Linked DNA regions of Caenorhabditis elegans. The protein of the gene in region 2 purifies or fractionates together with the protein of the main gene of each other region. This does not show direct contact. Each region holds a gene or a part of one and is shown on either strand. Other genes may lie near its edges.

Region 1 (6,335 bases), on a different chromosome or scaffold from region 2:
ACACTTGCTGCTCCGCCAACACGCTGTGGCCAGTCTAATTCGCATCTCCATTTCTTTACTCATCAAGAGTTAACTCCATGATAATCGCTACCTGGTCCGGGTACCCATTGTACTTTTGTACTTTTTTTGTCCCAATTTTCCCCATACACATTCATTTCCATTTCAGCCTTAACACTTATAAAGTAGCTCAGTAGCTCATGTCATCTCCTCTTCCCACCTTCAACTCTGTTCCTTCGAACTTGTCTCATTTAATTGTAGTCTATCGCGGGCCCATTTGTGCAGAGCCCCCGGTGCTTCTGTTCGTCACGGCTAATAACTGTTAATTTCCCAGATTTCTTTCAACCCACCTTTTTGTTGTTGTTATCCTGCACATTTCAATGCTCACACCCCAAACTAGATTATACGGAATTTCATGTTTTTACACGTTTAAGTTGTCATTCTTTCCCGCTTCTCCCGAACGTTTCAAAGCCTAACTCTCACATTTACAATTCACTTATTCACCCTCGGTATATGTATAAGCTTATTCGAGCTTACTTTTTTTTTCTGTCTGTTTTTGATTACGTGAATAATTTCTTTATTTTTTTGTTCATTGAACAAACAAATTTCAAAGTCTAGTACCTTTTATTGACAGCAAAAAAATAGTCATATGAGACGGAAAACAAATTGACCAAAAAATAACAAAATGCGTTCGTCTACTGGAGTAAAATCATTTAATTTAACTAGATGCTCACAGAGTATCAACATATGGGACTTCTGAGACATTTCCATAACTGGCCAACGACAACTTGGTAGTCAATTTCTTGGCGGCAACTTCAACATCACTAGCCGACACATTTGGAATCTGTTGAATGTAATTGTCTTGGGACTGGAAGAGTTGGGAGGCTCTCTCGATGGCAAAGTTGTCGGAATGAGCAGAGGCTCTCAAGGCGTTGTTGAAGGCCTGCTTCTTGACGGCTGAAAGTTGAAATTAATACAAAAACCGATTAAGTCGGTAACGTCACAGTAGTTTGAAATTACCATCAACCTAAAAATCTGCAATTAGTTTTGTGCTAGAAATATTCCATTTCGCTTAAATTTTACGACAAGGTTAGCATAGTTTAGCTTTAGTCTAGTTTAGTTAAGTTCAACTCTACCACAAGAACACAATTTATATTTTGGGTTTTCAGTATAGGCCTCTAAAAATCATATTTATACAAAAGCCCTTCTCTAAGGCGGCTCAAATTGTAAATCTACATACAAAAATGTCAAGTATTAGGTCGTGAAAAAAGTTTTCTCCGAAAATTTTGAAAGTTTTGCCCCGGAAAGTTCTGCAGCTTTCTGGACTATTTTATTATAGAATGTTGTAGAACATCCTAGAAGCATATCTTTATTTAATTTTTATTTTTTTTTATAATTTCAGAAATATCGATGTACAAAAATAGTGTGATCCCATTTTATCAAATTTATACTCTAAAAAACAAAATTTCTTACCTTCAATATCAGCGACCTTCAAAGACTTCAATGCTCCAACTACATTCGAAACAGCTTGGTTAGCCTGGCTTCCTTCAACGACAAGGTATACTCCGGCCAGTCCACTATCCGCATGAACAGCTTGGAATGCGCTGGCCGATCCATTCTGTCCGACGGCTTTTGCGATGACTCCAGTGGTTCCGGTGTTGAATCTGAAATTAATCATTTCAAGTGTGAACATTGTAATTCCTTTTTTGTATTACTTGACTGGTGATGAATTTCCAAGTGCGGTGAGGAGAACTGCTTGGGTGGCCAATGCTTTCGTGTTGTTTCCGGCAGCTCCTTCTCCAGCGACAATCACATGCGCGTACTTCGAATCGGCATCTCTGCGCACTTCTCCTCCCTAGGTGTCAGAAAAGGTGAGAAATGATAGTATAGATAACATAAACAGTGGAGTGGATAATGAAATTGAAATTTGCAAAGTTTTTCTGTTCTATTTCCAAATCCAAAATGAGTGATTGCATTTTTTCGGGGAAAGAAACAATAGTAGCAAGTTTTTTCCTCTTCATGCCAAAGGTATACTGAATATCCGTCGCATTGCGATATCTGTCATACGACTAGGACCGGTAATTTTTTATCGGCGCGTTCTTCCCGATCTGTTGCGTGTCTAAGTTTCTAAGTTTTCCCAGCCTCCCCCTTGCCCTTGCAAGTTCTTGCCGGCTTTCGAGTTTTTTCGGAGAAAAATGTATAAAAAAGTGTTCACCAAAGCAATACACAACATTGTTCTCAACGATGTCTACTCTTGGCTATATTGGGGCAGGCGTCTGCTTGCTCGGAGTTTTCTCCGCTCTTTGCTCAATTGGACATATTGTTCAAGATATTAACAACCTTCGTTCCGAAGTTGAAGGACGCGTTGATGAGTTCAAAGTTCTTGCCGATGATACTTGGGATCGTCTCCTGATTCTTCAATCTCCAACAGGAGAATCTGCCAATCCAGTGCCATCCCTCCTCCGTAACAAGAGATTTGTGTACCCAGGAATGTGCAATTGCGACAGCAACTCTCAAGGATGCCCAGCAGGAGCACCAGGACCACCAGGAAACCCAGGAAAGCGTGGAGACGAAGGACATCCAGGAGATGAAGGAAGACGTGGAGCCAGTGGTATCTCTCTTGCAACCACTCACGATATTCCAGGAGGATGCATTAAATGCCCAGAGGGACCAGCTGGACCACCAGGGCCTGATGGAGACTCTGGACCAGAAGGATTCCCAGGACTTCAAGGGCAATCCGGACCATCCGGTGAAGATGGAGCCCCAGGACAGGAGGGAGCCCCAGGAGATCAAGGAGAACAAGGACCAAAGGGATACGATGGGACCGACGGACCAGACGGACAGCCAGGAACCACATACTTCCCAGGACAAGCTGGACAGCCAGGAGAGCCAGGATGGTTGGGAGAGCCAGGACTTCCAGGACAACATGGAGAGCCAGGAAAGGACGGAGAGGAGGGACCACAAGGAGCACCAGGAACTCCAGGAAACGCTGGTCACGACGCCTTCCCAGGAACCCCGGGACAAGCTGGAAAGCCAGGAGCTCCAGGTAAAATTTTTGTTGTTGTTACTAGGAATTTCTTGAACAAACAGTGATGAAACATTTTAAATTGTTTCAGGAAAAGATGCCAACTACTGCCCATGCCCACAAAGACAAGACGACAGAACCCCACCATCATCTGGAACATCCGCTCCACAGCCACCACCACGTGGATCCACTGCTGCTCCAGGAACTCGTGCTCCACCAGCAACTCGCGCTCCACCAGCAACTCGTGCTCCACCAGCAACCACCCGCGCTCCACCAGCAACAACTCGTCCAGCACCAGCTTCACAGCCACCAGTCAGAGAGCCAGAGACTCCAGATTCTGGATACCCATCCCCAGCTCCACAAGAGCCAGCTCATCCATCACCAAGCTACCCGTCTCCAAGCTATCCATCTCCAAGCTATCCATCCCCAAGCTACCCATCTCCGAGCTACCCATCCCCAAGCTATCCAGCTGAGCCAGCTTATTCCGTCCCACCACCAGCCAAGCCAGAGCAGCCATCAGGAGGATACGATGCTCCATCTCCACCACAAACTGGAAGCTACCAGAGACGTTGGTAGATGCGTGACACTTCTCATGACATTATTTATGACTTTGTTATCCAACTCCACTGAATAAATATTCGTTTTCAAGAACTCACCTTGTAAGCACTTGAAGATGGGGACGCAGCGTTTCCACTTCTGATTGGGGCGTGATTGTCTCCATAGAGAAGAAGGTCATCGTGAACAGCATTAGTGGCAAACAATACTCCGTTTCCTGTGACGAAGTGCTGCTCCTGAAATTTTAAAATTGAAAACTTGCAGATAAGAATAAGCAACTTACTGCAAATGAGGACAAAGTTGATGTGCAGATCGATCCAATTTTAGAGCATGGTGCATAGATTGAGTTTCCAAGTCCTCCATTTCTAAAAAAAAAAGTTTTGCTCAATGAATTCTCGAAAGCTTCTCAATGCCAAACCTGTAAGCGGCCTTGTGAATCTGGTCAACAACCAAGTCGTAAGCGGTTCTGTATCCGTTGTCAGCGCGCATAGTTGGCAGCACATCCTCGACTTCCCATGGCTTGAATCCTGGGTTACCAGCGACTTGTCCCAATACGGAAAGTCCGACGGAAGTGCTTTCGCGTGGAATTGTGAGGGAGACTCCGAAAAGATCGCGGGAGGTGAAGGATTTCTGAAACATCACCCTCGCTATGTCTGTGAGACTTTTTGGAATGCTCATGAAAATTTGATAATTTTGCTCCAAGTTAATTAGACCACATTTTTTCTGAAATTTTGATACAAAATACTTAATTCCAAATTTTTTTTCTAACAAATCTTTTCTAAAAAAAACTGTGAATGTATTATGCAATCTTTCTTCAAATTTACATTAAAATTCTTAGTTCTTTTCTAACGCCCAGTAGATTCAACTTTATCGATTTTTTTTTCTTGCTCACCAGAACTCCTCCGGTCTGTGACAACGTCCATACAACTGTGTTTCCAAAGTATTCCTGGGTATCTCTGCCGACGAAATTTCTGATGGTATGAGAGAGTCCGGCCTGGTTGGCTTTTTCGTAGCGACTTCCAGCTCTGAAGGCAAGAACCTAAAATTTGAAGATGATTTCGGATAGAAGAAACAAATTAAAAAAAAACCAAATGTGCAATTGGTTTGTGAGAGTCGATAGTTCCAACGGTCAATCCATTTCCAAGTTTGGCCACTTTTTCGACTGGTTTTGTCGTTGCTGCCTTATGGGCTCCGCGAACAGCTCCAATGTTGCGGCTAAGCATTCTGAAAAAACTAGATTTTCAAAGAAAAACTAGATAATTTTCAAAAATTGGGTAAAATTGAACAATACGGTTATAAAAAGTGCATAATTTATCAAATTTATTCATTTTTTGTTTAAATATTAAATGGAAAACTAAAAATAACTTCATTTTTCACAAAAATAGGTCCAAAAAATGAGAGACGCCTTTCCCGACTCATTGCTGACGCATCCCTTCTCGCTTGCGCGTTTCGTGCGCACATACGTCACTGGCCAAATGGCATGAAACGACGAGGACTATGAACACTTTATTACGGCAAAAATTAATAAACGAATAATTGAAATTTTTTTAGTTTTTACGAAGCATGTTTTGATAGAACATGTAAGACATGAATGGAACTGTTGTTTGACAAGCGGATTGACGGTTTTCCACGCGGTGGAATTAATTTGAGTTGTGGTTGCTGGCGGTCCTGAAAAAATATATTTGAAAACTAAAAAAATGATATAAATTTTGTGAGGTTTTTTTCGAGAGGAAAAGTTTGATTACAAATTTTTCAGTTTCAGCAAAAATTATGTTTTCCTATAATTTTTACAAAACTAACAAAATGTGCTTAAACCAAGTTAGGATATTTCTGAAGACATTAAAGGTGGTGTAGTCGAATTTTTTTATTGCTTTATTAGACTCAAAATTGTCTGGAAATGCCAAATTTCATAATGAAACTTCTTGAAAACTTCTTTTTAAAAAAAGTTATGACGGCTCACAAAATGGCCCAAAATTCGCTAGAATAACGGCGAGATTTTTAAATTATTTTAAACCAAATCTTGCCTTCCATCGACTTTAAAGTACCTAAATAAAGTTGAAAACACAAGATAATTACACGGTTTATTCAAAATTTGACGGTAATTTCAAAAAAAAATTGTTTCCAGCCGCTGCGACATAGGCAAGTCGGTCAAATTTCAAAATTTAACTAATTTTAGGTCACTTTTTCACGCGTCATAACTTTTTTTTGAGAAGTTTTCAAGAAGTTTCATTATGAAATTCGGTGTTTTCAGACAATTTCAAGTCTAATAAAGCATTAAAAATATTCGACTACACAACCTTTAATAGGATTCGGGAATCACCAAGTCTTGCCATCAAATTTGTACAATAAGAAATAAAGTTAATTTTTTTCAAATTCTAGTATAAATTAGGGAAAATTTATAGATTCACTTACATTCGACTTCACTTTCACAACAAATGCTCTTCTTCGTTTATCGGAACGTATTGGCCGAGTATAACGATAAAGTGATAGGAGGCGTTCCGAGGCTGAAGATGACTGCTCTAACATTAAAATTACTTGCGCCCACTGGAAAGTAAAATGGTGAAACTTGAAAATAAAATGTTGAAGTATAAAAAAATCACCTGACGCTTCCATTCTTTCTCAGTTTCGGCAATTTTCTCATAAGTACGAGTCATCATAGCAATTAGTAGATTCAGAAGCATAACAGTCACAATTAACTCGAAGAGGATGAAAAATACCTTAAAACGAGCTTGTAAGCCTGAAAAGAGCTTTTTTTGTA
Region 2 (3,109 bases):
CACCAGCAACAGAAACCAGTTCAGCTATTGAATCTCCAGCGAAAGAGGAGCCGGTTGCTGAATTACTAGAATAAAACGTATTAGATTTTTTACATGCACTATCACATCAATTTTCGATGTTACTATTCATATCCTCAATTGTACGGTGTAACAGTTTGTTTCAAGTACATTTCCATTGTTTTGAATACTTTAAAATACGGTTTGCTTGTTTTAACTAATGAATAAATATTCTCTGGTGTTTATATTATTTTAATTGCGTTCCTGTGGCCCAGTTATTTCCTGTGAAAATATTTGTTTGAGACTTTAAATTTTAATTGAAAGATGAAAATAGAGAGAAGGCGCCTTAAGGCACGCGGGACTGACAAAGTGTGCAAACACCGCCACGCGAAGACGCACACTTTCGGTTCTTTCACAATTTTTTTGCCCGTTCTTCTCAATCAATTCTTGCTTCTTTTTCCTTTTATCGAAGTAATTCTCGTGTGAAAAACAACTCAAAAAATTCGAATTTTTCAGAAACTGGGTAAAAATGCAGTGCGACGATGTGACTTGGAACATTCTCAACAAGGGACAATGCGCCTACAAAGCGTGGACAAAGCCAAAAATGTTCTGTAAAAATGAAATGAATTTGACTGGTTTGTGCAACAGAGCTTCGTGTCCATTGGCTAACTCACAGTATGCAACAGTTCGTGAGGAGAACGGAGTATGTTACTTGTACGCAAAAGTTGTCGAACGATCTCACTATCCACGTCGTTTATGGGAAAAGACAAAGTTGTCAAAGGATATGAACAAAGCATTGGAACAAATCAGTGATCAACTTCTTCATTGGAGTGAATATGTTAGACACAAGTGCAAAGCTCGTCTCATCCGAATTCATCAATATTTGATCAGAATGCGTAAAATGGCAGTCCGTGGAAAGTAAGTTTAAACTTATAGAAACTGAATTTTGCATAGTATTATTTATTTTCAGCCAGAAGAAACTCATTCCAATTGGACGGAAAGTGGAAAGACGTGAGAAACGTCGTGAAGAGAAGGCACTTGTTGCAGCTAAACTTGATCACGCTATTGAGAAAGAGCTCTTAGCCAGACTTAAGTGAGTTGATATATTAGAAAGTGCACATTTTGAATGAAACAACTTTTAGACAAGGAACATATGGCGATGTTTACAACTTCCGTCAAGAGGCATTCGAACAAATGCTGGAAAACACTGAAAAAGAGTTGGAAGTGGAGCAAGAACTCGAGCAGGACGACGCAGACACGGGTGAGACTCAGTTCGTCGCTGACTTTGATAGTTCCGACGATGAGGATCAGGACATGGAAGACGGAGGTGATGGACATTGGTCACCAGGAGATACTGACAGTGAGAACGAGGATAATTGGCAGCCAGAACAAGAACAAGAGGATTCGGATGAAGATGATGAGGAAGGAGGTGATGAGCCAATGGAAATTGAGGAGCCACCAAAGAAGAAGGTAAAGAAGGAGCCGAAGAAAAAGACTGGGAAGAAAGCTGCTGATGGAAAGAAGAAGAAGCTCAAGAAACGAGCTCATGTTGAGATTGAATACGAAGAAGAAACGGAGCCACGACAAAGGGTCAAGGCATAAAACTTCGCATTCCATTTTGTCTGTTATCGTTATTTTTGTTCTTTTCTTTTATTCGCCCTCTTCCAATTGTGTTGTTGTTATTTGCTTTTTAATTTTTAACTCTTTTACCCAAAAATTCAAATGAAAATTGTTACTTTTCCTTGTTTACTAAAAATTAAACTGATTGGTTTTTTTTCCAATTTTATTTTATTGTTCCAATCACATATTTTTGTACTCTATAAAACCCATTGTTTTCAGAGAAGACCGGGAGGAAGCCATGGATTCGCCGGCGTGGATGTTCACGAAGGCGCTGAGCCATAGACAGAAGGTAATTTTTATTTTTGAAAAGCTTTAGTCGTTTGTGAAATTGGTAGCGTTGTTTTTTAATCTGATTGGAGATTTCGTCTGTTTAAAATGTAGCGAATTATTGCATTTTCAGGTCACCCGCCTCTACAAACGCTGTCTTCGCGAAGTTGACAACTGGTATGGAGGAAACAATCTGGAAGTTCGCTTCCAAAAGTGTATTATCCGTGCTCGATTCGACGCTAACGCTGATGAGGTTGACACCCGTAAGAGCCAGATCCTTCTTGCCGACGGATGCCGTCAATTGTGGGAGAAACGTCATTTCAAGCCTTTCCGTTTTGCTCTCGATCCAGGAGGTTCCAGTTATGATCGTGAACGCGAGTCGCCGGATGAGATTGTCGATTCGGATCAATGGACATTGGCTGAACGTGAACAGTTCCCCTACTACTTCAATACTCGTGAGCAGAGAAAGAAGGAGTTGCTGACTCACTGGGCCAAAATCGAAAAAGCTTGGGATGAGGAGATCGCGTCAATTCAAACCCAACTACCAGCTGCTGCCCCAACTGTTTCCAAATAGGCCACTATGAGGAAGTAATGCGATTGATTTTAAGTAGAACGAGCTCACTCGTAGACCGAATAATTTTGTTTTGTTTTTTATGAATTTAACGTCACTGAACAAATAAATATAGCTGTATTTTCATTGTATATTATCATTTATTATTCATCTGTTTAAATGGTTATTGCTGACCATTTGCATATTTTTTCCAATTTATTTAAATTTCTTCTTGTAAGCTTTAAATTAAACATTTTATTACAGAGATCTATCAGAATGGATGGATCTACAGGGTTCACATGTGTAACATGCCGTGTCGTCTTCGAGACAGCCGAGCTGCAGAGAGATCATTACAAAACCGAATGGCATCGGTACAATCTGAAAAGACAAGCTGCTGAGCTTCCAGCTATAGGAATTGAGCTTTTCAATGAGAAAGCTGCATCGTTCAACCCAACAAAGGTAGGGGAAAAGTTTTCTAATGTTCGCTTAATACTTACTCATTATCAATTTTTCAGCCAGTCGTTGCTGCTTCAGTTGAACCATTGTACTGCAAGGCTTGTCGGAAATCAATCAAATCGGAGAATGCAATGACTGATCACGTAGCTAGCAAAAAGCACAAGGAAAATGAGAAGAAGATTGAGGATGATGTGAAGAAAGGTCCAAAGCAACCAAGAA

The links.
Region 1: the proteins of C16A3.5 (region 2) and ucr-2.2 fractionate together in Caenorhabditis elegans (co-fractionation; one large-scale study listed by BioGRID). This does not show direct contact.

The regions. Positions count from the first base shown.
Region 1 is NC_003284.9:15,172,370-15,178,704, reverse strand, and holds ucr-2.2 (Peptidase M16 N-terminal domain-containing protein), read right to left. Parts: upstream 4,802-6,335; 5' UTR 4,801-4,801; coding exon 4,666-4,800; intron 4,617-4,665; coding exon 4,470-4,616; intron 4,208-4,469; coding exon 3,996-4,207; intron 3,943-3,995; coding exon 3,861-3,942; intron 3,814-3,860; coding exon 3,679-3,813; intron 3,674-3,678; exon of another isoform or gene 3,599-3,673; coding exon of another isoform or gene 3,114-3,598; intron 3,044-3,113; coding exon of another isoform or gene 2,242-3,043; exon of another isoform or gene 2,224-2,241; intron 1,853-2,223; coding exon 1,713-1,852; intron 1,662-1,712; coding exon 1,471-1,661; intron 955-1,470; coding exon 728-954; 3' UTR 560-727; downstream 1-559. Other genes in the region: pkhm-2 (PH domain-containing protein), read left to right, coding at 1-38; col-41 (Nematode cuticle collagen N-terminal domain-containing protein), read left to right, coding at 2,242-3,043, 3,114-3,598; ocr-3 (Ion transport domain-containing protein), read right to left, coding at 5,132-5,245, 5,990-6,121, 6,178-6,294.
Region 2 is NC_003281.10:6,378,936-6,382,044, forward strand, and holds C16A3.5 (NADH dehydrogenase [ubiquinone] 1 beta subcomplex subunit 9), read left to right. Parts: upstream 1-1,836; 5' UTR 1,837-1,855; coding exon 1,856-1,906; intron 1,907-2,017; coding exon 2,018-2,458; 3' UTR 2,459-2,582; downstream 2,583-3,109. Other genes in the region: nfx-1 (Transcriptional repressor NF-X1 homolog), read left to right, coding at 1-74; C16A3.6 (Protein MAK16 homolog), read left to right, coding at 527-915, 968-1,090, 1,140-1,599; znf-622 (C2H2-type domain-containing protein), read left to right, coding at 2,711-2,893, 2,950-3,109.